Linked DNA regions of Saccharomyces cerevisiae S288C. The gene in region 4 interacts genetically with the main gene of each other region. Each region holds a gene or a part of one and is shown on either strand. Other genes may lie near its edges. The genes, in order: UBP9, HSP12, PCL9 and KIN82.

Region 1 (8,877 bases), on a different chromosome or scaffold from region 4:
ATGTTGTAATTGATCCTGTCGTGGCTTCATCACTGGTCATGAAACTTAGTAACCCGTTCAAAATGGTTGAGACAGACCAGCCAGGATTCCAAGTATCAGGGTGGTAATCACTCATAGAAAGGCATAATCGTGTGTTGGGCTTGAAACGTCCATTCGGTGTTATCATTCTGATAGCCGGTGGTTTGTATGGATAATCAGACGGGAAAGTTAAAGTACCGTGATATTGACCGCCCTTGTAAGGAGTATCCGCAGGTCCTGTGATAATATAGTGCCACTCTAAAATATTATCTTCGTTGGGGCGAGCAAGAATATATGGTGGAGGGTTTTCCACCATCAACTTGTACTCTTTCGTCAATCTCTTGTGAGCCTGCTTTGTAGCCATTACTATTGTACGTACTTTGTTTGCAATTTGCGAATGCGGTTTTAGTTAATATTTAAAGTCTTTTCTGCGATATGCGATGGTAGTCTTCTTTATCACGGCTCCTAAAGTGTGATAATCGGAAAGTTCCTTTCTGTTCTCTGCAATCGATTTCGGCTTTTTCTGAACACAAATAACCAAAATTTCCTTATTTTATTGGGGAGGCTATCCTAATTGTAAAGTGCAATATTGCTGTGGAAGGATATCGACTCAAGCGACCAGTGGAATAGGATGGCGAGTTGGCTAGTTTAGCTCTCTCCGACATTGTTGCTATTGAACAGATACGGTATGCCCGTGTATTTATCCTCCTACCAAATCGCGCAGCAAAATGGTTAAGCACGTGACTATTTTTCAACAATGAAAAAATTTTGAACAATAGATGATATGAGGAGGCATCGAGGGATTGCTAAGAAGAGGATATTCCTCATCATCCAAAGACTATCTTGTCGTAAGTTTCGTTGAATATGTCTACAAACAGTATTAAGTTGTTAGCTGGTAACTCACATCCTGGGCTTGCTGAGCTTATTTCCCAAAGGCTTGGTGTACCGTTATCTAAAGTGGGGGTATATCAGTATTCAAATAAAGAGACGTCTGTTACAATAGGGGAAAGCATTCGTGATGAAGACGTATATATCATCCAAACTGGTTACGGGGAACATGAAATCAACGATTTCTTAATGGAATTACTTATCTTAATTCACGCTTGTAAGACGGCATCAGTCAGAAGAATTACGGCAGTAATACCAAATTTCCCTTATGCTAGACAAGATAAGAAGGATAAATCGCGGGCGCCCATCACTGCGAAGCTGATTGCCAATCTTTTGGAAACTGCGGGTTGTGATCATGTTATTACTATGGATCTCCATGCTTCACAAATTCAAGGGTTTTTTCATATCCCGGTTGATAATTTATACGGTGAACCAAGTGTGTTGAATTACATAAGGACCAAAACAGATTTCAATAATGCGATACTGGTATCGCCTGATGCTGGTGGTGCGAAAAGGGTGGCTTCTTTAGCGGACAAGCTGGATATGAATTTTGCCTTGATTCATAAGGAGAGGCAAAAAGCTAATGAAGTTTCGCGAATGCTGCTTGTCGGTGATGTTGCTGGTAAGTCATGCTTGTTGATTGACGATATGGCTGACACGTGTGGTACGCTGGTGAAAGCCTGTGACACATTAATGGATCACGGTGCTAAGGAGGTTATCGCTATTGTCACACATGGTATATTTTCTGGCTCAGCTAGGGAGAAGTTAATAAATAGTAGGTTATCAAGAATTGTTTGCACCAACACGGTACCTGTTGATTTGGATTTGGACATTGTCGATCAGGTGGATATCAGCCCTACGATTGCAGAAGCTATCAGAAGATTGCATAATGGAGAATCAGTCTCATATTTATTTACACATGCGCCTGTTTAAAGAAGAGGTATAAACGAATATATTTGTATAAATGTACTAACAGATATTTTGAAAAAAAATGCGTATATCTATTCAGTATTAGCGCTTATGCTGCCACCAATATTCTTCATCTGGTCTCTATGAGATTTTCATTAAAGCTTAATCTTTTCTGATTTACCGCCCTTGCTTTTGGAAAATATGTGAAATTTTATTGTGCTCTAAAAAAAAAAAGTTATTACAGTAGGTGAAGTGAAATACAACTAAATTCGAAAGATCAGGAACAATAGAAAGAAACGTGGAAATTATTTAAAAAAGGAAGAAAAAATGGTACACTAATATTGATACTTTTAGAACAGATGGGTCTCAACTATATGATGTATCGAAACAATCCCGATTTATTTGATGAAGCTCAATATTCTCGATTTTCTTTTTTGCTTATTGCGTTTTTTATCATTTAATGGCGTCTTGGTTTCTGCAGTCTTAACTTCAGGTATATTCCCCAAGGTCTTTTTGCGTTCAATATTTGCAGCTGCCCTCAATTTACGATCCCTTAACCAATCATCGCATTTTATTAACTGTTCAATGTTATTGTCAGTCTGCATTTGATCTTGACTAGAAGTGTCTATATTTTCATTTTGATTTTCGGTCTTATCAGCCTGTGTTTCTTTATAGAATAAAACGTAGGCTGTAGTTTGATCACCTGGATGACCTGTGAATTGTAACACAGTTTCTTCTTTTATGGATTCCACCGTTTCGTCATCATACAAAAGCCACCCAAACTTTTCGTTCCTGCAAATGCATACGTAATGACCATGCTGTGGACCGCTCCCCATATGGATGACGACGCCGCTTAGTTCATATTTTTTATATACTGATGTATTAAAAGTGGAAGAAACATCCAAAGTTAGTGGATAGAGTATTTTGTTAAAAAGTTTGATGTTTGACTTTTGCTCCTCTGAATACTTGAATCTTTTTAGGTGCAATGACAGAATATGGGGCAGTTGCTTCAGTCCGACCATACGTTCTGCTTCTTGTAAACCATAACATTTGTTACAATAAAATTTGTTAACCCCGTTCAACATCTCACGCTGATGATAGCTTTTTAACATCTTCTGGATATCAGTCTCTTCATCACCCTGTACTTCTATTGGAAAGTCTAAAAATGGTTCGTCCCTTGAGGTGATATTGTCACAAGTTAAACATTTGATCCTATTCGTCAGTGTACCTTTGAATAAATCCGTTATAAAGTTGTCGTTGCTGTTGTCTGTCTTTTGTGGTCCGAATCTCATTCTGGGATTATTGCGTTGAATATATTCACTGAAATCATTTAATAAAAAGTTTAAAAATTCATGGGCATCTTGTTGCATCATAGTGTTGAACAAGACGTTTTCTTTTTTTAAAATTTTGACAAACTCTGTAGGTGAAACGATACCGGTTAGCGACAAGTTTTCAGTAATAGACTCAAATATATCTTTTAGTCCATTGTAAAGTGTAGCTTCCTCGGTTGGATAAAGTAAATGATCTACGTTAAGAACGGGGCCTCTAATTAAAGCGGCTTTTTTTCTTTGTTCACTTGTTGGAAACGTATTCTCTTTATTATTATTAGAATTGTTGACAGCATCGTTACAGCTCTCAGGGTTAACAAGGACATCATCATCCACTGATGTAATCCTACTGCCTTGTGAATCACACTGGCAATGCGAATTTGCTTGACAATCTGTAGTTGAAGCTTTTGATAAGGAATCGCTTTGCTTTAAAAGCGGTCTTCCCACAATAATTTTTTTACAGCCTTCGTGAAGCTTCTCTGTTAATGTATCAGAGGCCATTACAACTGTGTGAACAGGCTGAGGCCGTTCCATCTCATTGTTATCATCTTTCTTTGCAGAATCTTTATAGTTCGATTTATCTTTTCCAAAACCCATAAACGAGTTCCTTTTTCTTTCAAAATTATTCTGTTTTTCTTGAGTAGAAGAAGAGGAGTTATCTTGATCACTCTGCTGAAGGTGGTGGTGGTTATGTGCATCTTCATTATCATTGCTTTGGTACCCCGTATTAGAATTTCCGCTATTAGTAGATGTTTCAAAACTTTCATTAGTGAATACCCTTATTTTTGAACCCTTCAAATCACTTTTGCGTATTCTGTTTACTGCGGCTACTCTTTCAGGATATCGCAGCACATTACACCTAAATTCGGGGATATTATAAAGGCATTGTAGAACGGAGTTGCAGTAGCAAGTATTCCCAAAATTTTCATAACCAAACACTTTATTGGAACCATCCCCATATGGCATTAAATCTGTAATAGTAGTAAATAGTATGGAGGACTCTGTATCGAACGCACGATCTTCATATGTAGTCGAGGAATCGTACTCTCTTTCATCTGAAGTACTTGCCATATTATGGTAATGCTCATGGTAATGTTTATTTCCTGCAAGGTTATCCGTTTGACTACTAAACTTGCTTCTTCTTTCATGGCTCGCAAGATTAGAAGGTATGCTTGATGTACTACTCTTAGCACTTGGTGATTTCGCTATGGAGGGATCTCCAGAACCTTTCGTTTTCTTCAGGCTAGTTGCTTTCCGATTAATTTCGTCATTACCTTGAGTGTTCTTCTCCGGGTGTGACTTTTTCCTATTCACAGATAACCATCTTTTTATCATTTTTCATATGGAAGACTCGTTGCCTTTGGTAAATGTTTTAATTTTCTGTTTATTACTGATAATGCAAATACTTTTTTAAGGATCGAGCTAAGGTTTTCGACACATTCAAGCTTGTTCAAGCGAAAGGTTGAGTTCGCCCCTAGAAGTTTAATAAAATCGGAAGTTCCAAATACAGCTTCGATGGACCTTATTGAATGCAAGAGAAACGTTTTCTTGTGGGGGGGGCGTATATCGTTTGGAAAGGAACAGAAGTGCAACTTTTTCAACCCATAATAGAAATCGCGCATTGACATTAATAAACGCGATTTCCGGGGTAAAAACCGCATATAAAGTATATATGGCGTACAGGAGCCCAACTGCTTTTTCTTTTGCTGAAGGACAATTGAGATACGACAGCGTGATGCTTTGTTGGAAGGTGGCTCCTAACCCCATACATACACTGTATGATGTCAAAAAAGTACTCCGATACGGGGAGTCGAACCCCGGTCTCCACGGTGAAAGCGTGATGTGATAGCCGTTACACTATATCGGATTACAATACACGTATGTGTTGCATCTCAAAATGGAATACGTCAGTATGACAATACCCACCTAAAATATTCATAAAACACATATTGAGATGTTGGTGAATTTTAAAATAATTGTTGGGATTCATTGTTCGTAAACGCTATAATATTGCGTATACAGAATATACTAGAAGTCTCCTCGAGATATGGAATCCATAAAAGGAGAATCTGTTGGAACGAGAGTAATTAATAGTGACATGAGTTGCTATGGTAACAATCTAATGCTTACATCGTATATTAATGTACACCTCGTATACGTTTAAGTGTGATTGCGCCTATTGCAGAAGGAATGTTAAACGAGAAGCTCAGACAATACTGAAGCTGTGTTAAACACCTATTAGTTGAACATGTTATGGTAGGTACATATATGAGGAATATGAGTCGTCACATCAATGTATAGTAACTACCGGAATCACTATTATATTGGTCATGATTAATATGACCAATCGGCGTGTGTTTTATATACCTCTCTTATTTAGTATAAGAAGATCAGTAATTATTTCTTCATTAATACTATTTTTTTACCTCTAATTATCAACAGAATCGATAAATCTACATATTGTTGTTATTCTTTTTTCTTCCATTTTATATGTTCTCGTTTATTATTCTATCACGATCTGAGTCCCTGCATTTCGGCCTCCATTAAATTTGATGAGTGTTTCTCAATTTTTTATGTCATCTTCCCGCACCGTATATGATTGTATACCAGTATTATGAATATCAGTACACTAGTTGATAGATGATGGCTGATTCCTATTCCAAGAAAGTTTTACTTAAACTTTTATATTTCTACTATAGGTTCTTGTCTGAGTAACGGAAACCACCTGCTCTAACAAAATCTTAGTTTAGTTCAAGGTTACATTTGCTGCATAATCGTTGTGGTTCTGGAGTTTTATCCCGCAACGAAATTCTAATCTATGGTTGAAATTTAATTATGGAAAAACTCATTTATGATGCTAAGCAAACAGGTCTTAGTGTGAGGGGGCATTGATCTTGAAAAATAGTCAATCCTACCCGCAGAAATTACTCCACAAAGGTCTGAAAGGAGACGCTGTTGCGTATTTGATCAATGAGGTGTATACCTCTTATCTTAAGCGGTATATAATAGCTTTATATCCCGATACTTGAATTATGCTTATGTAGGAAGAAGTGACACTGATTGCTCATTTGTGCCATTATAATGTAAGCGTTTGTTTTACAAGTGTTAGTGAAGGTACAATGTATGTTATTATTTTTTTTCTTCATCGTTTCTTTTCAAAAGGATGAGATTTTGTTTTAAAATATTACAGATTTCCGCACCAAAAAGTAAATATTATGAAAAAGACACATTAATTTCAACGCTGGGAAAGTAAATAAGTATAACGTCGTATATGATAGAACTAAGAAAGGCCGTGACTTAACTGGTCCATAGCCAATGCCACGGCATTAACGATAGTAGTGCTCAAATACATCTAAAAATGCAGCATATAGGATCTGCGCTAAATAACAGAAGGAGTTTAGTCAGGTTTATTTATTCGATATACAGCAAAGTAACAAATAGTAACGAAAGGTGTGAGGATCAGTCTATTTTTGATCAAACAAACTTCTAAAGTTAATCGAACTTCCACAGTTTGTGAAAAAAAAAACAACAAAATAAAAGGAAAACGAAGTTTGTATTTATCTATTAAATCAACTTTTTGGCTGCCACAGCTTCATGGGAGGTTTTATGATATTTCTGTGCCGAAGGAGGATGTCCTCGCGAAACAAACCCTCCACTTCTGCGAGCGTCTTCTAGTATTCTTGCCGATTCAGTATGCCCTAAAGCCGCCGCCTTCTCATACAATGCCATAGCATAATCTGGATCCGAAATGATAAGATCTTTATATCCCGTCATATAAATATTGGCTAATTCAAAAGGAGCACCACAAACAAAGCTGCTAGCCATAGATGTAGCCCTTCGCAACCATCTATAACCATCCATTTTGGTTAGAATATCATCTGGAAGACCCATCAAACCATGATACGAATATACTCCTAATTTGTACATTGCTGCAGGATGGTTCTTAGTTGCAGCAAAAGTCAAAAAGTTAACCGCCTTCGGTGCATTTCTGGTTACACCCAAGCCGCACTCATAGCAAATGGCAGTTCTGTAAACACTTTCGATGTGCATTCTTTTGGCTGCAGCGGAGAATAAAAGAAATGCTCTTCTATTCTTTATTTTACCGAAAACTCCAGAGGAGTAGGCGTCACCTAGAAGGTACTGTGCATCAGGGTATCCAACGGCACTTAGTTTCTTCAAAATAACTTTGGCATCGTTCACTAAATATTCCTTTAAAGAATCTACAGAGAAGCTATTGCTTTCATCCTCCAGTTCCTTAACAAGTTCGTGTAGTTTTTCGGTATCCAACCCTACCCTTAAAATGTATTGTGCATACTGAAAATTAGAATATATGTCTTGAGTTTTCTTAACTACCTCCCCGTACATTTCAATGGTTTTCCATCTTGGTAGCAAGCTCTTCTTGTTTTTCTTGCCAAGGTGAAATTTGGCCACATTATGTGATTCTGATGCAGTCACCTCATTTGTGAGGCAAAGACTATTGTAAACGTTAAAATCTAGTGACACATGTCTAGGAAGTGAAATGGAACTTGTACTTCTATTGATATCGTTTGAAGAGCCTGATCCGCTTGGATTATTCAAAAAGTCCAAATCATTCGATTGACTAAAAGACAGAGCGACAGATTCATTCTGAGAGGGAGGGGGCTCAGCGAAGTCGTGAAACTCGGAATTACCGTCTGCCGATGTGCCATTTAAAATTTCGGATGAAATTTCAGAAGCAATTTCAATTTCACAAGAACCTTGTGATTTTTCCTTCAGTGAGGAAGAAGCATCGTCCTCAACGTCGTTCTCAAACTCGTCCTGCTCAGGAAGAATCTTTCTTGTGGGAAAAGAGTTATATTTTTCAATCAATGAGGGCGAAGCGTCGATATCCATCGCATCCTCACCAATAGAGGATGAAATTTTTTCTTTATCATTTGTAAACACATCACCTGAGCGTGAAATATGAGATGAAACGGATGACCAGTATTGACGAACTTCTGGTTTATTCAATATCAGAGAGGAATCAGAGGAGAATCCGCTTGATTCCAACTGTTTATCAACCTCATTATAAGCTCCAATTTCAGGGTATGCACCAGGAGTATTTGAGCAAATAGTCATGGACATTATGGGTACTGCCTGATTTTAACAAAGGGATACTCGTAATGTCAACCGTACTTCTCTTGCTGTTAGCAAAAGTATTGTTCTATTCTTTTTTCCAAGTACAATTTTTTATTCAATTTAAAAACGTCGAAACGAAGACAAGGAAATTCATTGCCATAAAGAAGTGTATGGTATTTTACGTTGGTTTTATAAGAGGATGGCGACATATCAGAAAATTTTTCTCTTCACTCCCCTAAAAGGATAAAGCCGCGCGGACCCTGCAGGAGGAAGTAGTCATCGGGAAGAAGAGTAGAAAAATACATATATTTCATGGGTGACAGACAATACGAAAGTTATTTAAAAGAACTGAAAAAAAAGGTTAAGACCGCAGTAGGGTTGCGAGGTATATGACAAAATATATGCAAAAATCTAAGACAGTGGATGGAAATGAAGATAAAAATGTACGGAACGCAACCTAAGAAAAAGAGGAGAATTGAAAGTAAACCTGTGTAAATAAATAGAGACAAGAGACCAAATACCTACTCGTCTTCTTCTCTGGGGTCACCAACACCATCTTCATAGATCGCGAACACACATTCAGCCTCTGGTAAGCAAGGTGAGTCAACAACTTTGCATAATCTTTGACATCCCTTAC
Region 2 (6,810 bases), on a different chromosome or scaffold from region 4:
TTGATGGTACGACAGAGACAATCGAACAAAACCGTATATATATAAATATACGTTATATGTATATATATATCTATATATATTCGAGGTGAGTCAAAGGGTACGAATTATCATCAAATTGTTTATTAGCATTATAATACACTAAGTTTCCATTAAGTTGCTCCGCGGAGACTTCTCGCCAATGAGGGAACAGCCGTTCGAGATGATAAAGTATTCTAAAAACGAGTCATCATTAAAAACGATTCACGTGATATTCACGTGCATAAACCATTAGTAAGTATATATTTTTAGTGGGATATATGAGGGTACATTGCATCATGACTATTCGTGGTAGTCACGCATACGTTTGTCAGTGGCATTGTTCGAGTATTCCTCTGTTCTTCATTTCCCTTTTTTCCTATAGCCTCGCCTACGCTCTTTCACGTTTGTGCTGATAGAAACAATGTGGTAAGAAAAATTAAATCTCTAAAGGTGCAATGAATGTATAAGAAAGTACAACGCATATAGAGTATCCGGCATAGGACAGGATTACGCAAACACACGCACAGATACAATGGTTTCTACCCCTGAACTGAAGAAATATATGGACAAGAAGATATTGCTGAATATAAATGGATCTAGGAAAGTGGCAGGAATTTTGCGAGGCTACGATATTTTCTTAAACGTCGTTCTTGATGATGCAATGGAGATAAATGGTGAAGACCCTGCCAATAACCACCAGCTAGGCTTGCAGACCGTCATTAGGGGCAACTCCATAATATCCCTAGAGGCTCTAGATGCCATATAAAATTATATATATATATATATATGTCGACCTCTATGTACTATACAGCAATACTATTTTCTAATTTGCATTTCCACGCCTGCGTTGCTAAACCCACATTTTTCATAGAATTTGACATTTTTCTCATCGCAATCTAAAATAATCTTATAACAACCGTAGTCAAAGCCGATAGTTACCAATTGATCAATCAAGAGCTTGCCCAAACCTTGGCCCTGATACTTGGAGTTTACTGCAATGTCCTCGATGTGGCCACATAGCCCCAGTTCATGAATGATCTTTCTTTCGATGATGATATTCCCCGTAGCGGCAACCGTCTCGGTGCGCTTGTCCACAATCACCATGGGGTTATATTGCATTATTTTTTTATCTTCGTTATCATTCCATACTGTGGCTTCATTCCAGTATTTTATGAGTTTGCTGAAGGATTCGGGGGTAATAGTGCCCACGGTGGTCAAAACCTTTAGCGTCTCAGTGACCTGTTCCAAATCCCCCTCTTCCATTCGCCTTATATAAAATCCATCGGGTAAGCTCATTATTTTATGTTGATATCCAGCTTCCGTTCGTCAACTATTCTCTCGAGCTCAGTTTTGGGTTTTGGCATGTAAACAATGCCTTCGCTTGTATTACGCAAAAAAAAAAAAAATAAATAAAAAAAAAAAAAAAAAAATAAGGTATAAATCGTTGGTTCTTTTATGCACAATTATTTAACTATAGTTATCTATTTACGTAAAGGCTTCTATTTTTCCTTATCTACAAGAAATTGCATGAAGTTTAATTTTTTTTGTCACCTTTGATCTTCCTGAATGTGTTGGTAATGAAATTTTCTAGTCTCTTCAAAGTGTTGTCGTCATCCTTTTTTGCGTGTTTTTCCTCTTCTTGTTTTTGTTTCTTCAGTATCTCTTCATTAATGGCTGTACCCGCGGCTGTGCCCGGTTGCATGGTTTTCTTGGCCATGTCATCGTTGGTGACATCTGCCAGTGCCTCCCACAAGCATTTTTCTGCCAGCGATTGCGGTTTCTTAACAACGATCTTGTACTGGACTTTCATATCACCGCGAATGGTTGATGTTTTAGGAACACCCATGTTAGGAATGGATATCACTTGATTGTATTGAGTCCCTGGAGCGACCTTTATCCTGATCTTTTGTCCCTCCACAGTGGGGATAGTGACAGTACCACCAAGTGCAGCTGTGGTTATAGGAATCTCCTTGTCGTACCAAATATCGTACTTGTTCTTTATCGAAAAGTTGGGATCCTTGTCGACACGAATTCTCACCAAAATATCACCTCTTGATAACTTGACTGAATCTTTCAAGTCCGCCTCTACAGCGATGTCAGGGTATGAGCCTTGGCCAGGGATCCTGACCACGTCGCCGTCCTGTAATCCATGTGGCAAGTCCACCGTAATTGTCTTTGCCCTGTTGACCTGAACACCCTCACCATGGCACTTGGTACAATTGTCCTGAGGCCGTTTCATGGTACCTTCACCGTTGCAAGTAGGACAAGTCGACATCATCTGAAATCCGCCCCTAATGTGAACAGTGGTTCCTGTTCCGTGACAAGTGCTACAACTGACCTTATGCGTGTTTGGTTTCATTCCCGTCCCTGAACAGGTACTACAAGGGTCCAGCGCAGAGAATCTTAACTGAACGTTCTTGGACCCAAACACTGCGTCCTTGAAAGACACTTTATGGACAATCTCGATTGGGTCGCCCCTATATTGTCTGAACATAGATGACGACCTGCTTGCGCCACCGCTACCGCGGCCACCACCACCAAATGCAGCACCAAACAGGTCTTCAAAATTGATACCGCCAAATGGCGAGCCGCCTGCACTGGTGAATCCTGAGAAATCATGAAATTGGGAACCAAAGGGAGAGCCACTACCACCACCGGCACCTCCAGCGGCACCGCCGCCGCCGAAGGCAGCGGGCCCAAATTGATCGTACTGCTGCCTCTTCGTTTCGTCTGACAGAATTTCATAAGCGTTCTGTAAATCGTGGAATTTCTTCTCAGCATCCGGTTCCTTGTTGATATCCGGGTGGTACTTCTTTGCCAGTTTGTAGTATGCTTTTTTGATTTCCGCACCTGTAGCAGATTTCTTCAAGCCTAAAGTATCGTACGGGTCCTTGAATGCTTCGTTGTTTCTGATTGCAGAAGTATGGAAGCTAGATTTTGGTATTCGTGGAGCGATGGATGCAAACGCGATGGCATGTCTATAAAGAATATTATTGATATGGCGAGAATGTCCCACATGGTGTCTAAAGACACCGGAACACCTTGACAATACACCTTGTTGGAAAGCCATTGTTATGTTATGTTTAGAGTATGATATAGGACTTCTCTCTCTTTTTTTTTTTTTGTCCAGGTGGAGTGCGATTTGTTCGTTATATGCCTCATTCCTTAATTTTTATCAGTCAGAACGTTATTTCGCGCTGCAAGTTCCTTACTTTTCCATAGAGTTCCACAGGATGTAAAGAAAAATAATGATAAAAAAAAGCAGAACATATTACCCTTCTTTTGGAGCGTACTTCCATCTGTTACCCGCTCATCCAAATGCACATTCTGTTACCCTCTTGTTCGGTATTTTTCGGAGTTCTCCTTTTCTCCTTCTTTTCCTCTTGATACACAGAAAAGTGGGAGAAGGTAGGGGGAGTCAGAGAATGAAGAAAAAAAGGGGACGCGCAAATCCAAGTGAAAATCTCCGGGAGCGGGCGGATCCCACTAACGGCCCAGCCGAAAATGGAAAAAAAGGGTCGGTGATGTGTGGGTGCCAGCTGGCGGTAGCAATGACGACGTGTTGACGGGCCCTTGGCTCTTGGGACAAGGACTAGAAGCCAAAAGCCAGAGGCGGTAAAAATAGCAAGACTAGAATATTGCTGGCATCTGTTAAGGGGATATGTTGCAACTTGCAGGGGGCGGCACAAAATAACATAGAAACGTAGTAAAGAGGGGAAAAGGAAAAGGAAAAGGAAAAGGAAGGAAAAAAACCCATTGACGTAGAAATTGAAAGAAGGAAAGGTATACGCAAGCATTAATACAACCCACAAACACAGACCAGAAGCACTCTAGACGGAGAGTAACTAGATCTACAGCCCCTGGAAAATCGTTTGGTCAACTTTGAGGTTCCGGTCGTCCCCCTCTTGATCTGAAAGGTCTTTCTCTAAATCTATATTAAAACGTATAAATAGGACGGTGAATTGCGTTCTACTTCCTCAATTGCGTTTGATCTTATTTAATCTCTCTCTAATATATAGAAAAAAAAACCATCTGATTATTCGATAATCTCAAACAAACAACTCAAAACAAAAAAAACTAAATACAACAATGTCTGACGCAGGTAGAAAAGGATTCGGTGAAAAAGCTTCTGAAGCTTTGAAGCCAGACTCTCAAAAGTCATACGCTGAACAAGGTAAGGAATACATCACTGACAAGGCCGACAAGGTCGCTGGTAAGGTTCAACCAGAAGACAACAAGGGTGTCTTCCAAGGTGTCCACGACTCTGCCGAAAAAGGCAAGGATAACGCTGAAGGTCAAGGTGAATCTTTGGCAGACCAAGCTAGAGATTACATGGGAGCCGCCAAGTCCAAGTTGAACGATGCCGTCGAATATGTTTCCGGTCGTGTCCACGGTGAAGAAGACCCAACCAAGAAGTAAATCTTTCGGAACTCTTTGTAGTTACATGGTTTTTTCTTTATGATGTGTGATGTTCCTTAATATTATATTCAATGAATAGCAGAGTAATAAAAAAATTCTAAAAAAAAAACGCTTAAATCGAGGTGGAATATATAAACTTAAGTACGCATATACTCTAGTTCAGTTTAAAAATTAGCTGTTTTTTTAAAAAAAAAAATTCTCTTTCTTTACAAAATGTTCTTAAATGTATGTATGTGTGTGTGTGTGTGTGTGCGTATTGTTCTATTTCACTCCAGCTTAAACATGGCGGTTGCTTCTTCGTCATCAATTTCCGCGCGTTCGATTTTATTTAAAAGTACTTTCTTTGAAGCGCCGAGATTTTTCATGAAATCCGTCTCAAATCCAAGCAAATTATCTTTGAATTTCTTTCTCTTTTTACCGCGAATCCCAAGCACTGACGCTACGGGGATGTCTTCAAATTCATTGAATATCTTGATTAACCCAATATCGCGTCTTTTCAACCTGTTTGGCACCTGGGATTTTTTCAAATCGGCGAGAAACTCCTCTTGTGTCTTACCATTTTCTGACACATGCTTGTTCAGATCTAGCGATATTAGCTTGTCGACCTTGTTTACCGTAGCCGAACTATTGTATTTTTTCAATGGTGTTAGATTTAAATCGTTTTTGTCAATGATAGCAGCGGAGGTGATTTCTTCTTCTGTTTCTGTTGGTGCTGCTGGCGTTACTTTGGGCAGTTGTGGTGTGACTTTTTTCCTGTTCAATGTCATGGGTGAAGAAGATTCCAGTATGGGCGTAGGCGTCAAAAGTGATCTAGTCTCCTCTACAGTCTCCTCGCTCTTGTCATCTTCCCCTTCACCGTCCTCTTCACTCTTGTCACCACCGATACTGGGCTTTTTCACCTCTGTAACATTGGTACGCTCGCGCTTCCTACCCTCCTCCATCTTACTCATGAATTCTCTTCTCTTGATGCGTTGGTTGGCTCCGAACTCTAATTCATCTTCAGGATCCGTGTCGTAACTGCGTTCCGTACACCTTAAAATGAACTTTCCAGCAGGTGCACCATCTTCCAATCCATTGAAAAATCTTACTGATTCTTCGACCTCCTCCTGGCTTAAGTTTGTCTCCAAATGAATATATAGCAGCCAAATCAATATGTTTGATCTATCCTTTGGCTCGTATTTCGAATAGTCCAGTATATCAAATAATGTTGTTGCATAAGCTGCTTTTGATTCTTGTTTTTCATTTTCCGCTTCCGTTTCTTTTACTTCATTCTGTTCATCTACCATATCTTGCTCCTGAGCTTTCGATTCGACTTCCACATACTTGGAAAGAAACCTCTTGTCAATTAGGCCGGAATTATCACATATGCTAAACAACATATTAATAATGTTAAATTTGTTAACGGTGTCCACTTCACCATCATTTTGGTCGACCTTTTTGTAAGTCTCCATCAATGAGAGTTGCTCATTGCCCCACGGCAGATTTTTCAGAATAGATTTCAGTCTAGGTGTATCCTGCAAAAGTTTCGGATCATTGGCATGTAATTGTAAAACTGGCACGGAGTGAAAAGTTCTCAATTGCGATGTCATTTCTAAATAAAAATTTATAGTGGTGTTCAACCTACCAATGTTGACCAATAACGCTAAAACACAAGTAGAAAATGCTACTTGTTGGTCTAATAATAGTTTATCTCTGAGAATTTTGGAACATTTGATAGAAGTGGCTATTGTCAACACATACAATTGTGCGAACGTCAATTTATCGTTAAATACAAATGTCCTTGCATCGTACTCTTTGTCGGTCACGTTGATTGATAATTTATCGCCATCGATATTAATGGGTACAATAGAGTTCTTGTATAGGGGTTTTAGAACATTAGTGAAGATTTGCCTCTTGTCCATCAACAGTTCTTGCATGAAACTGAACTGAATGTCCTTTCTATTGAATGGCTCGCCGTCAGGTTTCTTCAAATGACGATTGTATTTACTGGCATTGCTTTCTTTGGGTTTCCTTCTAACAGTGTTAGTTGTCACTGGCCCCGTTGCCGTACTTGCTCCTGTTGCTTCAGGCACTGTAGAAGGTTCGAAGTTGAGCAAGATGTTGGTATTTTCTTCTTCACTTTGCGTGGAGTCATCATCATTTTTATCGTCGATTTCAATCTCGTGTATAACTGGAATGCTTTTTGTAGTCACAGTCTCGGTCTCTGATTGAATGGAGCTTGGGGATGCTTCTTCTTGTGATCCCGATTTTACAGATTGCATTGGAGAATCTGCTTTTGTTTCGTCAGAATTGTCTTCTCGTAGTTGGAAAGTATCATGAATTGGATCGTATACTCTCTTCCCCATCTTTAATTAGAGTGTCGCCTTTATTTAG
Region 3 (7,499 bases), on a different chromosome or scaffold from region 4:
AGGCCATTTTGGCTAACCCATCTACCTACGAAATCTTGGACCCTCACGATTTCGGTATGAAGAGGTATATCCACTTCGCCAACAGACTAACTGGCTGGAACGCCATCAAAGCCAGAGTCGACCAGTTGAACTTGAACTTGACGGATGACCAAATCAAGGAAGTTACTGCTAAGATTAAGAAGCTGGGTGATGTCAGATCGCTGAATATCGATGATGTTGACTCTATCATCAAGAACTTCCACGCAGAGGTCAGCACTCCTCAAGTACTATCTGCAAAAAAGAACAAGAAGAATGACAGCGATGTACCGGAACTGGCCACCATCCCCGCCGCCAAGCGGACTAAGCCATCCGCCTAACGTTCCCAAACCATTACATTATGTTCTTTCACTTATTACATACGATATATAGCATCTACATCTACATATCTAAATGATGTTTTTTCCCATCTACTTTGTCCGATACGCATTAAAAGAAGAAGATTTACTCTCCCGTGATGCCGGGCCAATCAGACGCGCGCATTCGCGGCAGAATAAGGGGAGGCTGCTGCGGGTACCAAATATCCAGATATTCACAATTATGCCAATCAACTGTCTAGTTGCTGACACCCATCGTTTTCCACTGCAACGAGGTTTTGGGGCTAGAAAAGGCGTTAACAATCGTTAGAGAAGGAGGGGTTCATAACTTGACTTGTTGTATCTTGTTTAAAACTTTCTTTGAATTTGTTCGTGGTTGAATTTGTTTTTGCTATCCCAAAGGAGTGCATTTTACACGCATTACTACAGCACACTTTTATACAGTTCCACAATAGAATATGTTACCACGTTCAGCATTAGCACGCTCATTGCAATTACAGCGCGGTGTGGCCGCAAGGTTCTACTCTGAAGGTTCTACCGGCACCCCAAGAGGGTCAGGCTCAGAGGATTCGTTTGTTAAAAGGGAAAGGGCCACGGAAGACTTCTTCGTTAGGCAGCGTGAGAAGGAGCAACTACGCCATTTGAAAGAACAACTGGAAAAACAACGAAAGAAGATTGATTCTTTGGAAAATAAAATTGACTCGATGACCAAATAATCATGCGTTTCCGCAGAAGCTTTTTTTTTTTTTTTTTTAGAATATTCTTACTCTTTTATAGTCAAACAGCAGAAAAACTATATAATAATACATCACACTGAGCTTTTGCATTTTCGATAACTATCATTCTAGTTTTCCTCTGGTTTGAATTTTCCTCTTGTCTGTCTGACTAATGTCACTCATTATTTCCACTTCGCGCAAAGTTCGTCCCAATGCGGAAAGGCATAGAAAGATAGGAACAGTGTGGAACATGGAAAAGTTCCAAATAACGTCAATAGTCCATACTTAAGATACGAAATTTCAAAATTCCTTCTTTTTTGTTTCAACAAGCTTAGCCTAACACCAAGAATATACTTAGCATCTCTTCGCATTCAAAATTTCTCTTCCATTCTTTGACGTTTTAAATCATACCTCGTATTCTTTACACAAAAGAAAGATACCTGTGAAATATATCTGAATATGGTCCGATTAAATCATGCAGCATCATATTTTATGCCTATTTTCTGCTCCACAAGGCCTCACATAGTGATACTTTCTGCGCTGTTTAGTATTTCACTGTTTTCACTATTCTATGCGTCGTCCGAATTACTGCTACACCAGTATGATGATCCATTGATGTTCAAACCAAATTCGCAGGACTATTTCAGGACCTTTCTTTTGGGGCTTTTTTCACCATTTCTTTATTATTTCCTGAAGACCTTTCTATTCAATATAAATCAAAGGTTTTTAATATTGAACCTGATAGTGGATTTTCCTATCAACGACGTCTTTATGCTTTTGATACTGATTGGTTTAGCGTACCCTCAGGTGCAAGATCACGAAGGCGGTACGATCAAGCATAAGGAATGTTCTTGGCACATCATTCCAAGACAAGCCTATATCTTTGGTATATCATGGGCCCTGGGTGAATTCACCATATGCATAATAGGGAATTTGTTTAACTACCAAGAAATCGCCGATCCAAACATTAATAGTGGCTTCACACACCAGGAAAGCGCCAACACTTACTGTAACAATAATGATATGAGCCATAACGATGACTGCGGTTGTAGTACAGAATATCGCCCCAACGTCGTAGACAGAAGTGATATTACGTTGTCCAAATGTATTGAAGTAAGAAATGACTCATCTTCCATATCGAATAACGTATACTCGTCTGAGTACCATCCAATCAAACCTCTACGTTCATCGTCATCAACTTATGGCAGCATACGACAGCAACCTCATGAAAATAAGAAGCAGCTGCATGTACCAGATAATTCGCAGGACGATACAATTATCATGATGAACCCCATCGACAATTCATTAAAGTTGACAACTCTAGATACGGGTGATTTGAGTTTCCCCATAGACGAAGAACAGCCCATTTTGAAGAAATCTTTTGGTTATACATGGGCAGTTCCTAATGAAAATACACAAAATACTACTAAAAGCTTCACACCGATAAAGAGATTTATTGCATTTAGCACGGCATACCAGTTGGTCACCGGTTTATTGTTAATGATATTGGTAGTTGGTAGTAATATCATGTTGACAATTGGGGAATCATTGATTCTGTCGATGTATTTCGTCTATGTTCGCGGCCATGAAGGATTATTTACTCCCGTGGTGAACTACTTCGGCTCAAGAACCATTTCAAATTTCATCTTATGCGTAATAATTCCTTTCATATCTCTAAACTTCCTCATCAACACTTCGATATATTTAAGAAGAGAGCTAGACGATTGGTTTAATAATTCACAGGGGGAGTTTGAGGACGACGACGAAAATACTATCAGTAAGAGAGTAGCTACAAATCAAGAGTACCAACATCCACTGAGTGCTAATTACATTTCGATGGATAGTCCTGATGTAATAAATAGCAGCCCGGGTCACTTCGGGATGAATTCAGGCCAGTTGTTAGGTAATACGACGTTATATTATGGTAGTTTAAATGGGGATGATGATGATATGACCAACGACTCCGCTTTACTAAGATTCTGCAAGAAGCTAGTCAAAAATTGGAGGGCTTTGGCAAGAAATGATTCTTTTGTACTTGGAGTAATGGTTTCTTGGAGTCTTCTTGTTTTTGTAACGGGAATACTTTCAACAGTTTATATATAGCATATAAGTAACGACCGTGCACATATTAGGGTGTTCATATCTTGAAAAATCTTTATGTTATCCATTTTACTTTAGGGGAGGTGGAGCTTAATAATAAAATTTACATAAGAACAACAATCTGTAAGTAATTATAAAAATATATTAAAGGGACATTTTAACCCTACTTTAAAAGTTTAACTACATCAGTGGTTCATCAATCAAAGGTTATGCAAGGTAGAAATTTGTCCAAAAGAAAATAGATCATGCATCATTCAATATGGAGCTCACACTGTATGCTACAATTTGGCCTCCATTCATAACTGCCAAGATAAAATTTGTTGGCAATATGGAGCTCACACTGTATGCTACAATTTGGCCTCCATTCATAACTGCCAAGATAAAATTTGTTGGCAATATTGAAAATTCTTAAATTAGCGCTGCGCGGAAACCAGCGTCACTAATTTTTTTTTTTATTGCTGCACTAAAAAAAAACCAGCTCAAGTAGATAATCTTACAAGGGACAAGTAGTCAAGCCTTGCTTATTATAATTCTGTTTAACGGTGCAGTGAGTTTGGACATTCATGCAACGTGGTAAATATGTGTCTCTTTGCTTCTGTATTTAAGCATTTGGGCAGCTTGCGGTCAGTAGAAGAGTGCATCGACATTCATAGATCTCTAATAACATATATTTAAGTGGATATACGCAAAGAAAGGACAAGAAAACTTGTTTCGGTAACAGCATTATTAATTCTGAAGAAATACGCACAAAGAGATGATTTCTGACTACGATGCTCTTTTGCAATTCAACAAAAAACCTGTTTCGCAAGAAATGATTCAGTTCTTAGCCACTTCTACTGCTTCCATAATTAAAATCAGGGAAAATAATAATCCAATCCAAGGATGTCGCCCACCAGACTTATCTATCTTCATTAAAAACGTGGTAATTCAGTCAAATGTTCAAACACCAACTTTAATGGCCACATCAGTTTATTTAAACAAACTGAAAAGCGTAATACCAAAAAATGTGTACGGTATTAACACCACAAGACATCGGATATTTCTCGGATGCTTGATATTAGCTGCCAAAACTCTGAACGATTCTTCTCCCTGGAACAAACACTGGACCACGTACACAGAAGGTTTACTCAGAATACGTGAGGTGAATACCATCGAACGAGAACTATTAGAATATTTAAATTGGGATGTGAGGATAACTACACCGGATTTGATTGATTCTCTTTCTTACTTCCTCGGGCCTATCAAGGAACAACTATTTTTACAAAGGAGACAAGAAATGCTGTTGTTCAATGCACCAAGTCCCGGCCAACTGAAAGAATATATAAATCATAGAAGACCGGTTTCGCATTCTAGAACTTCTTCTGCTATATCGGTTCCTTCACTGACATCCATGGCAACAGTTTCGACAACAGACTCAAGGTCTTCTCTACTGGCAAAATACCAACCGTCCCTACCGTTGGTGGAATCTGACAACTTCAACAAAAAAAATCATGTGCCGTTAAGGAATAATAACGATATCTGTAATAATTTCAGGGCAGAGGAAAACATACACTCAGTAAACCATATTGATGTAACAATGGGAAGTTCACCAGTAATGTCGCATAAGCCCACAATTCACCAACGGTTAAATTTTACAAGGAGGGGCTGGTCATCGTTTTTCAAGCAATAATTCTAAGTTACTCGCCTTTTACAAGCTCTATAAATATTCTTTTCCGTTCTTTAGTTGTCTTAACTTTGTACAATATGAATAACCATCGTTTCTAGGCTACTAAAAAAACACCATACTACATAAACAAATATCTAATAATGAATACTCTTGGCATTCGTCTTGTTTCTCGAGGAATATCGGCCGAGTTTTTTTCATTTTGACAGGTTATATAATTCAAAATCTATCTGACTCTGAAAAAGTGGTAATAAATGCATTGACAACTTCTTCTCTTTATTTTACAGACATTAATCCAGCACTACAAGTGGCATATAACAAGATGCTAAGAAACATTTTGGTGAGAAGTACTGGCAGCAATTTCAAATTTGCTGGCAGATATATGAAATCATCAGCTCTTTTAGGATACTATAGAAGAGTTAACTATTATTCGACCAAGATACAAACCAGACTGACTAGCGAAAACTATCCAGACGTGCATCGAGACCCTAGATTCAAAAAATTAACGTCCGATGATCTAAATTATTTTAAATCTATTTTATCGGAACAAGAAATATTAAGAGCCAGCGAATCAGAGGATCTTTCATTTTATAATGAAGATTGGATGAGAAAGTACAAAGGACAGTCCAAGTTAGTATTGAGACCTAAGTCAGTGGAAAAAGTTTCTTTAATCTTAAATTATTGTAATGATGAAAAAATTGCCGTTGTCCCACAAGGCGGTAACACGGGGTTGGTAGGTGGTTCTGTGCCCATTTTTGATGAATTAATTCTATCTTTAGCAAATTTAAACAAAATAAGAGATTTTGACCCTGTATCAGGTATCTTGAAGTGTGATGCTGGTGTAATCTTGGAAAATGCTAACAATTACGTAATGGAACAAAATTATATGTTTCCGTTGGATCTGGGAGCTAAAGGTTCCTGCCATGTTGGTGGCGTGGTTGCAACCAACGCTGGAGGACTAAGGTTATTGCGTTATGGCTCACTACATGGAAGCGTTTTAGGCTTAGAGGTGGTAATGCCCAATGGTCAAATTGTTAATAGCATGCATTCCATGAGAAAAGACAACACCGGTTATGATCTGAAACAGCTGTTCATTGGCTCAGAAGGTACTATCGGTATCATCACTGGTGTTTCAATCTTGACTGTTCCTAAGCCAAAAGCGTTTAATGTATCTTACTTGTCTGTTGAAAGTTTTGAAGACGTTCAAAAAGTCTTCGTCAGAGCCAGGCAAGAATTATCTGAGATTTTATCCGCTTTTGAATTTATGGATGCTAAATCTCAAGTATTGGCCAAGAGCCAATTGAAGGATGCTGCCTTCCCTTTGGAGGATGAGCATCCATTTTATATTCTTATCGAAACGTCAGGGTCAAACAAAGATCACGATGATTCCAAACTTGAAACATTTTTAGAAAACGTCATGGAAGAGGGCATAGTAACGGATGGTGTAGTGGCACAAGATGAAACCGAACTCCAAAACTTGTGGAAGTGGAGAGAAATGATTCCAGAGGCAAGTCAAGCTAATGGTGGTGTTTACAAATACGATGTTTCTTTACCACTAAAGGACCTATATTCTTTGGTTGAAGCCACTAATGCAAGACTTTCTGAAGCTGAATTAGTGGGTGATTCGCCCAAACCAGTGGTGGGCGCCATTGGATACGGTCACGTGGGTGATGGTAATCTACACTTAAATGTTGCAGTTAGAGAGTACAACAAGAACATTGAAAAGACTTTGGAACCATTTGTCTACGAGTTTGTTTCCTCAAAACATGGTTCCGTTAGTGCCGAACATGGGCTAGGTTTCCAAAAGAAAAATTACATTGGCTATTCTAAGAGCCCGGAAGAGGTCAAGATGATGAAGGATTTGAAGGTTCATTATGATCCTAATGGAATTTTAAACCCTTACAAATACATTTGAAAATAAAATGCCAAGTTTTATAGTTATCTACATATGTATATATTTATCAATATTATATTCTACAATTGTGTATATTATATGGTAAGGGTGATATTTAAGGAAGAAATCCACCCTTCTTTAAGGTTTCCACTGCACATGTTGAAATGTGTCTGAATCTTGATGAGCCCAAAGGCGTGCCACCATACCATCTGGTCACTATTACCAAGACGTTGAATATGTTTGCTCTTTCAAGTAAGGTCAATAAACGCTGTCCAGCACCAGCTTCGCCACAGTCAGCACATCCTTGCTCAATGTTCTTTGGCTGCACCGTTATGTTCCTTGACTTGTTAACATGACTATTATTACTCTTATTTGCTTTATTGCCCTTCTTTTTCTGCTCTTGTTGTAAGTGCAAATTATTTGATACCTCGGCCGTTCTCCAGGCATACATGTGCATGTGGGATGCCTTGGAGACGCTTTTGTTGTTTTGCGTTAGTTCTTGGAGTATGGAGGGTATATCCTTTTGATTTTGTAATGGGCAACATCTTGCTTGAAATTTCGATTTTCTATCAACTAAAACTTCTGATTCATTCCATATTTTCACTAGCTTACCAACATTCTTACTCATTTCTCCAAAAAATAGTAATACCAAACATCAATACCTATCTAAGAATCTGTATAATGTCTTTTCTAAAGGTTTTTTACAGCTGATGATTGATGCATGACTTATTTCCACAGTGCCGTATTTTCTCAGTTGCCGTTTTGGGTCTGCT
Region 4 (8,793 bases):
TTGAGGTCATCCAGTATGGCACCAACAAGTGGTTCTGATTCAATCTCACACAACTTTACGAGCCCCCCCTCTAAAACAAGTGGTAACTACGATGTTTTGACTTCAAACTCAATAGATCCTTCTCTATTTACAACTACGAGTGAATATTCATCTACACAATTGTCGAGTTTAAATCGGGCCTCAAAAAGTGAAACAGTTAATTTCACTGCTTCTATTGCTTCCACACCATTTGGTACAGATTCGGCTACTTCTCTAATAGACCCCATTAGTTCAGTGGGTTCTACAGCATCTAGCTTTGTGGGAATTTCAACCGCCAATTTTAGTACACAAGGGAACTCGAACTATGTTCCTGAATCAACTGCAAGTGGAAGTTCACAATACCAGGACTGGTCAAGCTCTTCTCTTCCGCTGTCACAAACCACTTGGGTTGTCATCAACACAACTAATACACAAGGGTCTGTAACGTCAACCACATCCCCGGCTTATGTTTCTACGGCCACCAAAACGGTTGACGGGGTGATCACCGAATATGTTACATGGTGTCCTCTAACACAAACCAAATCACAAGCAATTGGGGTCAGTTCGTCCATTTCTAGCGTTCCACAAGCCTCCTCATTTAGCGGTAGTTCTATTTTGAGCTCCAATTCCAGCACTCTTGCTGCCTCGAACAACGTTCCTGAATCAACTGCAAGCGGAAGTTCACAATACCAGGACTGGTCAAGCTCTTCTCTTCCGCTGTCACAAACCACTTGGGTTGTCATCAACACAACTAATACACAAGGGTCTGTAACGTCAACCACATCCCCGGCTTATGTTTCTACGGCCACCAAAACGGTTGACGGGGTGATCACCGAATATGTTACATGGTGTCCTCTAACACAAACCAAATCACAAGCAATTGGGATCAGTTCATCCACGATTAGCGCCACACAAACCTCTAAACCATCTTCAATATTAACATTGGGGATATCGACCTTACAATTGTCTGATGCCACATTTAAGGGGACTGAAACTATAAACACCCATCTCATGACCGAAAGTACTTCAATCACAGAGCCCACCTATTTTAGTGGCACATCGGATAGTTTTTATTTGTGCACCAGTGAAGTTAATCTTGCGTCTTCCTTATCTTCTTATCCAAATTTTTCATCTTCAGAAGGCTCTACGGCGACCATTACTAACTCTACCGTTACATTTGGATCGACCAGCAAGTATCCATCTACTAGTGTATCTAACCCAACAGAAGCCAGCCAACATGTGAGCTCTAGTGTGAACTCACTCACTGATTTTACTTCAAATTCAACCGAAACCATCGCAGTTATATCTAATATTCACAAAACTTCGTCAAATAAAGACTATTCATTGACGACTACGCAATTAAAGACCAGCGGAATGCAAACGCTTGTGCTTTCTACTGTCACAACAACGGTGAACGGTGCTGCTACGGAATACACAACGTGGTGCCCGGCATCAAGTATTGCTTATACGACATCCATATCATATAAAACATTAGTTTTGACCACTGAAGTCTGCTCTCATTCTGAGTGTACTCCAACGGTTATTACCAGTGTTACTGCAACAAGCTCTACAATCCCCCTTTTATCAACCTCTAGCTCTACGGTATTATCTTCTACAGTATCCGAAGGTGCAAAAAATCCCGCTGCTTCTGAAGTAACTATTAATACCCAAGTTTCTGCTACTTCCGAAGCTACTAGTACTAGCACTCAAGTGTCTGCTACTTCTGCGACGGCCACTGCTAGCGAGAGTTCAACCACATCCCAGGTTTCTACTGCTTCCGAAACTATTAGCACTCTCGGTACTCAAAACTTTACCACTACTGGAAGCTTACTTTTCCCGGCTTTGTCTACTGAAATGATAAATACTACTGTGGTTTCCCGAAAAACCCTAATTATTAGTACAGAGGTATGTTCCCATTCCAAATGTGTCCCAACAGTCATTACCGAGGTTGTTACTTCGAAAGGCACGCCTTCTAATGGACATTCTTCTCAAACTCTACAAACGGAGGCAGTAGAGGTGACATTGTCATCCCATCAAACCGTAACTATGAGTACCGAAGTATGTTCTAATTCGATTTGCACACCGACTGTTATTACATCTGTGCAAATGAGAAGTACTCCTTTTCCATACTTAACTTCTTCAACGTCAAGTTCCTCTTTAGCCTCCACCAAAAAAAGTTCCTTAGAAGCCTCCTCAGAAATGTCCACCTTTTCTGTCAGTACGCAAAGTTTGCCTTTGGCATTCACAAGTTCAGAAAAACGCTCCACCACATCTGTCTCTCAATGGTCAAATACCGTTTTAACTAATACAATAATGTCCTCTTCTTCTAATGTCATATCAACAAATGAAAAGCCCAGTAGTACTACCTCTCCATACAACTTCTCTTCGGGGTACTCTTTACCTTCTTCTTCTACACCTTCCCAATATTCACTATCTACAGCTACTACAACAATCAACGGAATCAAAACTGTGTACACAACTTGGTGTCCATTGGCAGAAAAATCTACTGTAGCTGCTTCTTCTCAATCTTCCCGCAGTGTTGACAGGTTTGTTTCGTCGTCAAAACCATCCTCATCTTTATCTCAGACCTCTATTCAATATACATTATCTACTGCTACCACCACCATAAGTGGTTTGAAGACTGTATACACGACTTGGTGTCCATTAACAAGTAAATCGACTTTAGGTGCTACTACTCAAACTTCCTCGACAGCCAAAGTTAGAATTACTTCCGCTTCATCTGCAACATCTACTTCTATTTCTTTGAGCACTTCAACAGAATCAGAATCTTCATCTGGATATTTGTCGAAAGGAGTATGCTCAGGTACTGAATGTACGCAAGATGTGCCAACACAATCATCCTCACCTGCTTCAACGTTAGCATATTCCCCCTCTGTTTCTACATCATCATCATCATCATTCTCAACAACAACTGCATCAACACTAACGTCAACACACACCTCTGTCCCGTTATTACCATCATCTAGCTCTATATCAGCATCTTCGCCATCATCAACTTCGTTGTTATCCACTTCTTTACCATCTCCCGCTTTTACGTCATCAACACTTCCAACAGCAACAGCAGTATCTTCCTCCACTTTCATAGCGTCTTCTCTACCATTGTCCTCTAAATCATCATTGTCGTTATCGCCAGTCTCGTCGTCTATTTTGATGTCTCAGTTTTCATCATCATCATCATCATCATCATCATTGGCATCGTTGCCATCTCTTTCTATATCACCAACTGTTGACACTGTTTCTGTTCTACAACCAACTACTTCCATCGCAACACTAACTTGCACAGACTCACAATGCCAACAGGAGGTATCCACTATCTGTAATGGATCCAACTGTGACGATGTGACTTCAACTGCCACTACTCCTCCATCTACGGTTACTGATACTATGACATGTACTGGATCTGAGTGCCAGAAAACCACATCTAGCAGCTGTGATGGTTACTCGTGTAAAGTATCCGAAACGTATAAATCAAGCGCTACAATATCTGCATGTAGTGGAGAAGGATGCCAAGCTTCCGCTACAAGTGAGCTAAATTCTCAATACGTCACGATGACGTCTGTCATTACCCCAAGTGCCATAACAACAACATCAGTGGAAGTGCATTCAACTGAATCCACTATATCAATTACTACAGTGAAGCCAGTTACATATACATCCAGTGATACTAATGGAGAACTGATAACCATAACAAGTTCCAGCCAAACTGTAATTCCATCAGTAACGACGATAATAACGAGAACAAAAGTGGCCATAACTTCAGCACCAAAGCCAACAACTACGACCTATGTCGAGCAACGACTTTCCTCCAGTGGGATTGCTACTTCTTTTGTTGCTGCTGCATCCTCAACTTGGATTACTACACCCATTGTCAGTACGTATGCTGGTTCGGCGTCAAAATTTCTCTGTAGTAAGTTCTTTATGATAATGGTAATGGTGATCAACTTCATTTAATTTCCCGTATATATTATATGTACGTATATATGCTATAAACAGACACTCTTTTTACTTACCTTTAATAATGCTTGATGAGAAATCAGTCATTGTTACTTCTTCCCCAAGGTTGTCATCATAATCATACCATTCATTATCCTCTAGTTGGCATGACATTACTTTCCCCGAACTTAGAGAAACTTCAAACGTTATGGTGTCGGGATAAAATTTGATTAATTCACAACCTCTGCAATCAAGGCTTAAAGGAATGAAAGAATCTTCTTTGACCTTCGATAAACCATGCTTCTTCCGCACATCTTTTATCTTGGCCCATTTGTCGTCACTCTGATCAGTTAAATATTCATCCTCAAAAGCGCACAGGTTAACTGACAATTCTTTTGAACAAAATTTACACTTCATCAAGAAAGATGCGGTACCTTTTGATGCCGGCATAGCATATTCTTCAAATGTATTGATGATGACTTTAGAATCGTGTAATTCTCTACAACTGGTACATTGTAGATCGAAGGCAAATTCTGCCCTTGATTCGTTTGTATTCTCAATTGAAACCTTGGTCACGTTTTCTGATAATGTTGCTTTCAGAACCAAAAATAACGGCATTATCGTACACAACCTGGTTTTCTTTATTGGTTAAGTTGTCTTTATTCAAAATTTTTCATTACTTCTTATAAACAGCTTCTTGACGCTTGTAATTTCATAAGTTTTTGATACAAGCAATGGAAACAAAATTAAGAAAATGTAGGCAACGAAGAACTAAATTTGAAAAAAAAAAAAAAAAAAATTTACTGCCAAGATCATCTAAATTATCTTATAGTAGCAAAGCTTGAGCATAAAAGGATCAATCTTTTAGTTTTTTATGGCAAAGTACATTTGCAGTAAGTAATTAGTGATGAGATAAACAAAGAATAATAATCCAATTCGAAATCAAAAATTCAAACAACAAAAAACATAATTTCACATATATATCTAATTCATTCACGAAAAACACGTCAGTTCCTTCTGTCTGTTGTAAATAGGATGCATCCGCAGTGAATCATGGAAATATTTCAAAACTTTCAGCCCAATCATTTTATTTGGTCAATGAAGCCATAAACGCTCCGTAATTCTAAGATTAAAAAAAATTCATAAAAATAAGGACCAATATAAATATATATATTTAATGTGCTAGTGACAATCCTAGTGATAAAATTGCAAATTATACTACAATTGGTCATGGTGAAGCCTAAACACACCATTACGTCTTCACAGTGTTATTCATTTTATTTTCAAAGGTATGCTACTACTAATGCACCAGTGTATACCATGATACGGTGAAAAGGGCATGTAATATTGCGTTAATTTGTCGATAACCTTTCTTTACGTTTAAATTTTTTTTTTATAACTGGCGACACTAAACTTCTCGATAAAATACAACATAAAAAGCAGTACCTAGCTAAGCGAACAACAGATAATAAATAGCTAAACATCTAGGTTAATAGCCAATTAGCAATACATTTAAGGATTGATAGTGTGGTATTTACAAGGTAATAGCCCGCTAGGCTATAAGGAAACTACTCTAAATTCACCTTCCATATATGTGACTGCCAAGAAAATATTACTAGTTATCAAGCTTTTTTTGTGTGCATTCAACTTCAACGAATCCTTCGTCATCAATGAAACAAAAGAACAAGCCAGAACTGAAAAAAAAAAATCAAAACCACTAAGAATGTCACATCCTTCCAAAACTCCTGCTGGCTCTTCAACTCTTCAAAGAATATCAAGATAAATATCATTATCTCCAGTGTGGCCGACCCATGCATGAGTGCGAGGAGCATTAAGTTGGATCCTGGGAAAACATGTCAAGGACATTCAATAAAGTACTTTTCATACTACAACAGACGCTAGAAGAACTAGAATGTAACCGTGAACTGCCTCTCAAACACATAATTATGATAGCGCCGTCTTCGGCATCCTTTTTCGGAAATATACTTTCCTTTTTCCCTCTTTCAGCTATATTGTTCAAGGAGTAACATAAGACATAATAACCCCAGTTTTTTTAGAGAAAGTTCTTCTTCTTTAATTATAGTATGTTTGAAACGTACAAGAATTCATTGAGTGCCCTAAGGATTACTGCAAACAAGGTTCAACAGTGTTGGTACACATGACTCAGCAAGAATACCGTTCCCCCTCACAACGCTTATCCAAGGGGAGGAGCATGTCGCTACCCAAAATATTTGCTCGTAATTTGAGATCTCTGCAAAACAATGCACCTCCTGGCAAAAACATCAATGTCAATTGTTTGAACGTCAATTCTTGTTCGTTGTCCGCAAGCCCAAGCTCACAAATTAATATGGCTTGTAATGGAAACAAGCAAGATCTTCCCATACCGTTTCCCCTGCATGTAGAATGCAACGATAGCTGGTCAAGCTCCAAACTTAACAAGTTCAAATCAATGTTTAATCATAACAGATCAAAGAGCAGTGGTACTACAGATGCGTCAACTTCAGAAAAAGGTACGCATAAGCGTGAACCCCGGTCGACGATACATACAGAGCTGTTACAAAGTTCCATTATCGGTGAGCCAAATGTCCATAGTACTACAAGTAGCACACTTATACCCAATGAGGCGATATGCTCCACACCTAATGAGATCTCAGGTAGCTCTTCTCCGGACGCGGAGTTATTTACCTTTGACATGCCCACAGACCCGTCATCCTTCCACACTCCTAGCTCCCCAAGTTATATAGCAAAGGACAGTAGAAACCTGAGTAATGGATCTTTGAATGATATTAACGAAAATGAAGAGCTCCAAAATTTCCATAGAAAAATCAGCGAAAATGGCAGTGCCTCCCCCCTGGCTAACTTGTCATTATCCAATTCACCAATTGATTCCCCAAGGAAAAATAGCGAAACCAGAAAGGATCAAATACCTATGAACATAACACCACGTTTAAGGAGGGCCGCTTCCGAACCGTTCAATACGGCAAAGGATGGGTTAATGCGGGAAGATTACATTGCCTTGAAACAACCTCCAAGCTTGGGAGATATTGTAGAACCGAGGAGATCTCGTCGTTTAAGAACCAAGTCATTCGGTAACAAGTTCCAAGACATTACTGTCGAACCTCAATCCTTCGAAAAAATTAGACTACTTGGCCAAGGTGACGTAGGTAAAGTGTATTTAGTGAGGGAACGCGATACCAACCAGATATTCGCCCTGAAAGTTTTGAATAAACATGAGATGATCAAGAGGAAGAAAATTAAACGAGTACTCACTGAACAGGAAATTCTCGCGACAAGTGATCATCCATTTATTGTGACACTGTATCATTCCTTTCAAACCAAAGACTATTTGTATCTCTGTATGGAATACTGCATGGGAGGGGAATTCTTTAGAGCCTTACAAACAAGAAAAAGTAAATGCATTGCAGAAGAAGATGCGAAGTTTTACGCCAGTGAAGTAGTAGCAGCTTTGGAATATTTACACCTACTGGGCTTCATATACAGAGATTTGAAACCCGAAAACATATTACTGCATCAATCTGGTCATGTCATGCTTTCTGACTTTGATTTATCCATCCAAGCAACGGGATCAAAAAAACCCACCATGAAAGACTCTACGTATTTAGATACAAAAATTTGTTCAGATGGATTCAGAACTAATTCCTTTGTTGGTACTGAAGAGTATTTAGCTCCAGAAGTAATCAGAGGGAATGGCCACACTGCAGCAGTAGACTGGTGGACTTTAGGAATATTGATTTACGAGATGCTATTTGGCTGTACTCCATTTAAAGGAGATAATTCAAATGAAACATTCTCTAACATTTTAACCAAGGACGTCAAATTTCCACATGATAAGGAAGTTTCGAAGAATTGTAAAGACCTGATAAAGAAACTACTAAACAAAAACGAGGCAAAAAGGCTTGGTTCCAAATCAGGAGCTGCAGACATAAAGAGACATCCCTTCTTCAAAAAAGTTCAGTGGTCGTTCTTAAGAAACCAAGACCCCCCTCTAATACCTGCATTAAATGATAACGGCTGCGAACTTCCTTTTATATTGTCTTGCAATAAACACCCGAAAAGGAACTCAGTGAGTGAACAGGAAACCAAAATGTTCTGTGAGAAAGTTGCAAACGATGATGAAATTGATGAGGCTGATCCATTCCATGATTTTAATTCTATGAGTTTAACGAAGAAAGATCACAATATCTTAACCTACTCTGAAAATTATACCTACGGAAAAATTCTATACAAAGCAACTTGTACAAGGCCAAGGCATAACAGCTCACATAGAAGTTTCTTTAAAGACATCATACCTGAACTATAACATGTTTACAGAAAGATAAACCCATGGCCAAATTTCTGTATTGTTTCTCTCAATTTATCTTATGATAAAAATGTAAAAAATTATTTAAAAGTAAACAAATAAACAAAGGAACAATTCAAAAACGAGAAAGTGAATGAAAAATATAATATCATTTATTGTCTGATAATGCTGCATTTAGAACATACGTACCATCCGCATCAGTGGATATCCAATGATAGTAATTTCGCGAGTTTATCCGTTGCTGTTATATTATCACTTTTTAATATTCTTTTCAAAGAGCTGAATAATTTCAACGCGTCTTCGTTAATGGATTCCTTCCGCAATTCTTCTGAAATACTGAATGCCCGATTTATAATATCTTTGTCCAGGCGTGCCAATTTCGCCACATTCATCCCATAACTATTATAAGTCAATCCCTTTTTTAACTTATATAGAAAAATTACACTCATCCAGTCCTCGCCAGTTTTTTGTTCTTCCACGTAATCCATATGATAATTCCT

The links.
Region 1: mutations in KIN82 (region 4) and UBP9 together harm fitness more than expected from each alone (negative genetic interaction), as found in Saccharomyces cerevisiae (3 studies listed by BioGRID).
Region 2: mutations in KIN82 (region 4) and HSP12 together harm fitness more than expected from each alone (negative genetic interaction), as found in Saccharomyces cerevisiae (3 studies listed by BioGRID).
Region 3: mutations in KIN82 (region 4) and PCL9 together harm fitness more than expected from each alone (negative genetic interaction), as found in Saccharomyces cerevisiae (3 studies listed by BioGRID).

What each region holds. Positions count from the first base shown.
Region 1 is NC_001137.3:351,067-359,943, reverse strand, and holds UBP9 (putative ubiquitin-specific protease UBP9), read right to left. Parts: upstream 4,479-8,877; coding exon 2,214-4,478; downstream 1-2,213. Other genes in the region: E2 ubiquitin-conjugating protein UBC6, read right to left, coding at 1-382; ribose phosphate diphosphokinase subunit PRS2, read left to right, coding at 883-1,839; SHC1 (Shc1p), read right to left, coding at 6,708-8,246; recombinase RAD51, read right to left, coding at 8,762-8,877.
Region 2 is NC_001138.5:103,149-109,958, forward strand, and holds HSP12 (lipid-binding protein HSP12), read left to right. Parts: upstream 1-4,107; coding exon 4,108-4,437; downstream 4,438-6,810. Other genes in the region: mRNA splicing protein SMX2, read left to right, coding at 551-784; GNA1 (glucosamine 6-phosphate N-acetyltransferase), read right to left, coding at 835-1,314; MDJ1 (Mdj1p), read right to left, coding at 1,553-3,088; YFL015C (uncharacterized protein), read right to left, coding at 3,321-3,815; IES1 (Ies1p), read right to left, coding at 4,704-6,782. UniProt on the Saccharomyces cerevisiae protein: May play a role in a switch from carbohydrate utilizing metabolism to fatty acid utilizing metabolism.
Region 3 is NC_001136.10:134,368-141,866, forward strand, and holds PCL9 (Pcl9p), read left to right. Parts: upstream 1-3,923; coding exon 3,924-4,838; downstream 4,839-7,499. Other genes in the region: homocitrate synthase LYS20, read left to right, coding at 1-356; INH1 (ATPase inhibitor), read left to right, coding at 812-1,069; AIT1 (Ait1p), read left to right, coding at 1,529-3,172; DLD2 (D-lactate dehydrogenase), read left to right, coding at 5,155-6,747; YDL177C (uncharacterized protein), read right to left, coding at 6,842-7,354. UniProt on the Saccharomyces cerevisiae protein: M/G1-specific cyclin partner of the cyclin-dependent kinase (CDK) PHO85. May have a role in bud site selection in G1 phase.
Region 4 is NC_001135.5:268,274-277,066, forward strand, and holds KIN82 (putative serine/threonine protein kinase KIN82), read left to right. Parts: upstream 1-6,130; coding exon 6,131-8,293; downstream 8,294-8,793. Other genes in the region: FIG2 (Fig2p), read left to right, coding at 1-3,990; YCR090C (uncharacterized protein), read right to left, coding at 4,042-4,590; mismatch repair protein MSH3, read right to left, coding at 8,491-8,793. UniProt on the Saccharomyces cerevisiae protein: Flippase activator that phosphorylates DFN1 and DFN2 and which is involved in the generation of phospholipid asymmetry in membranes by the inward translocation of phospholipids.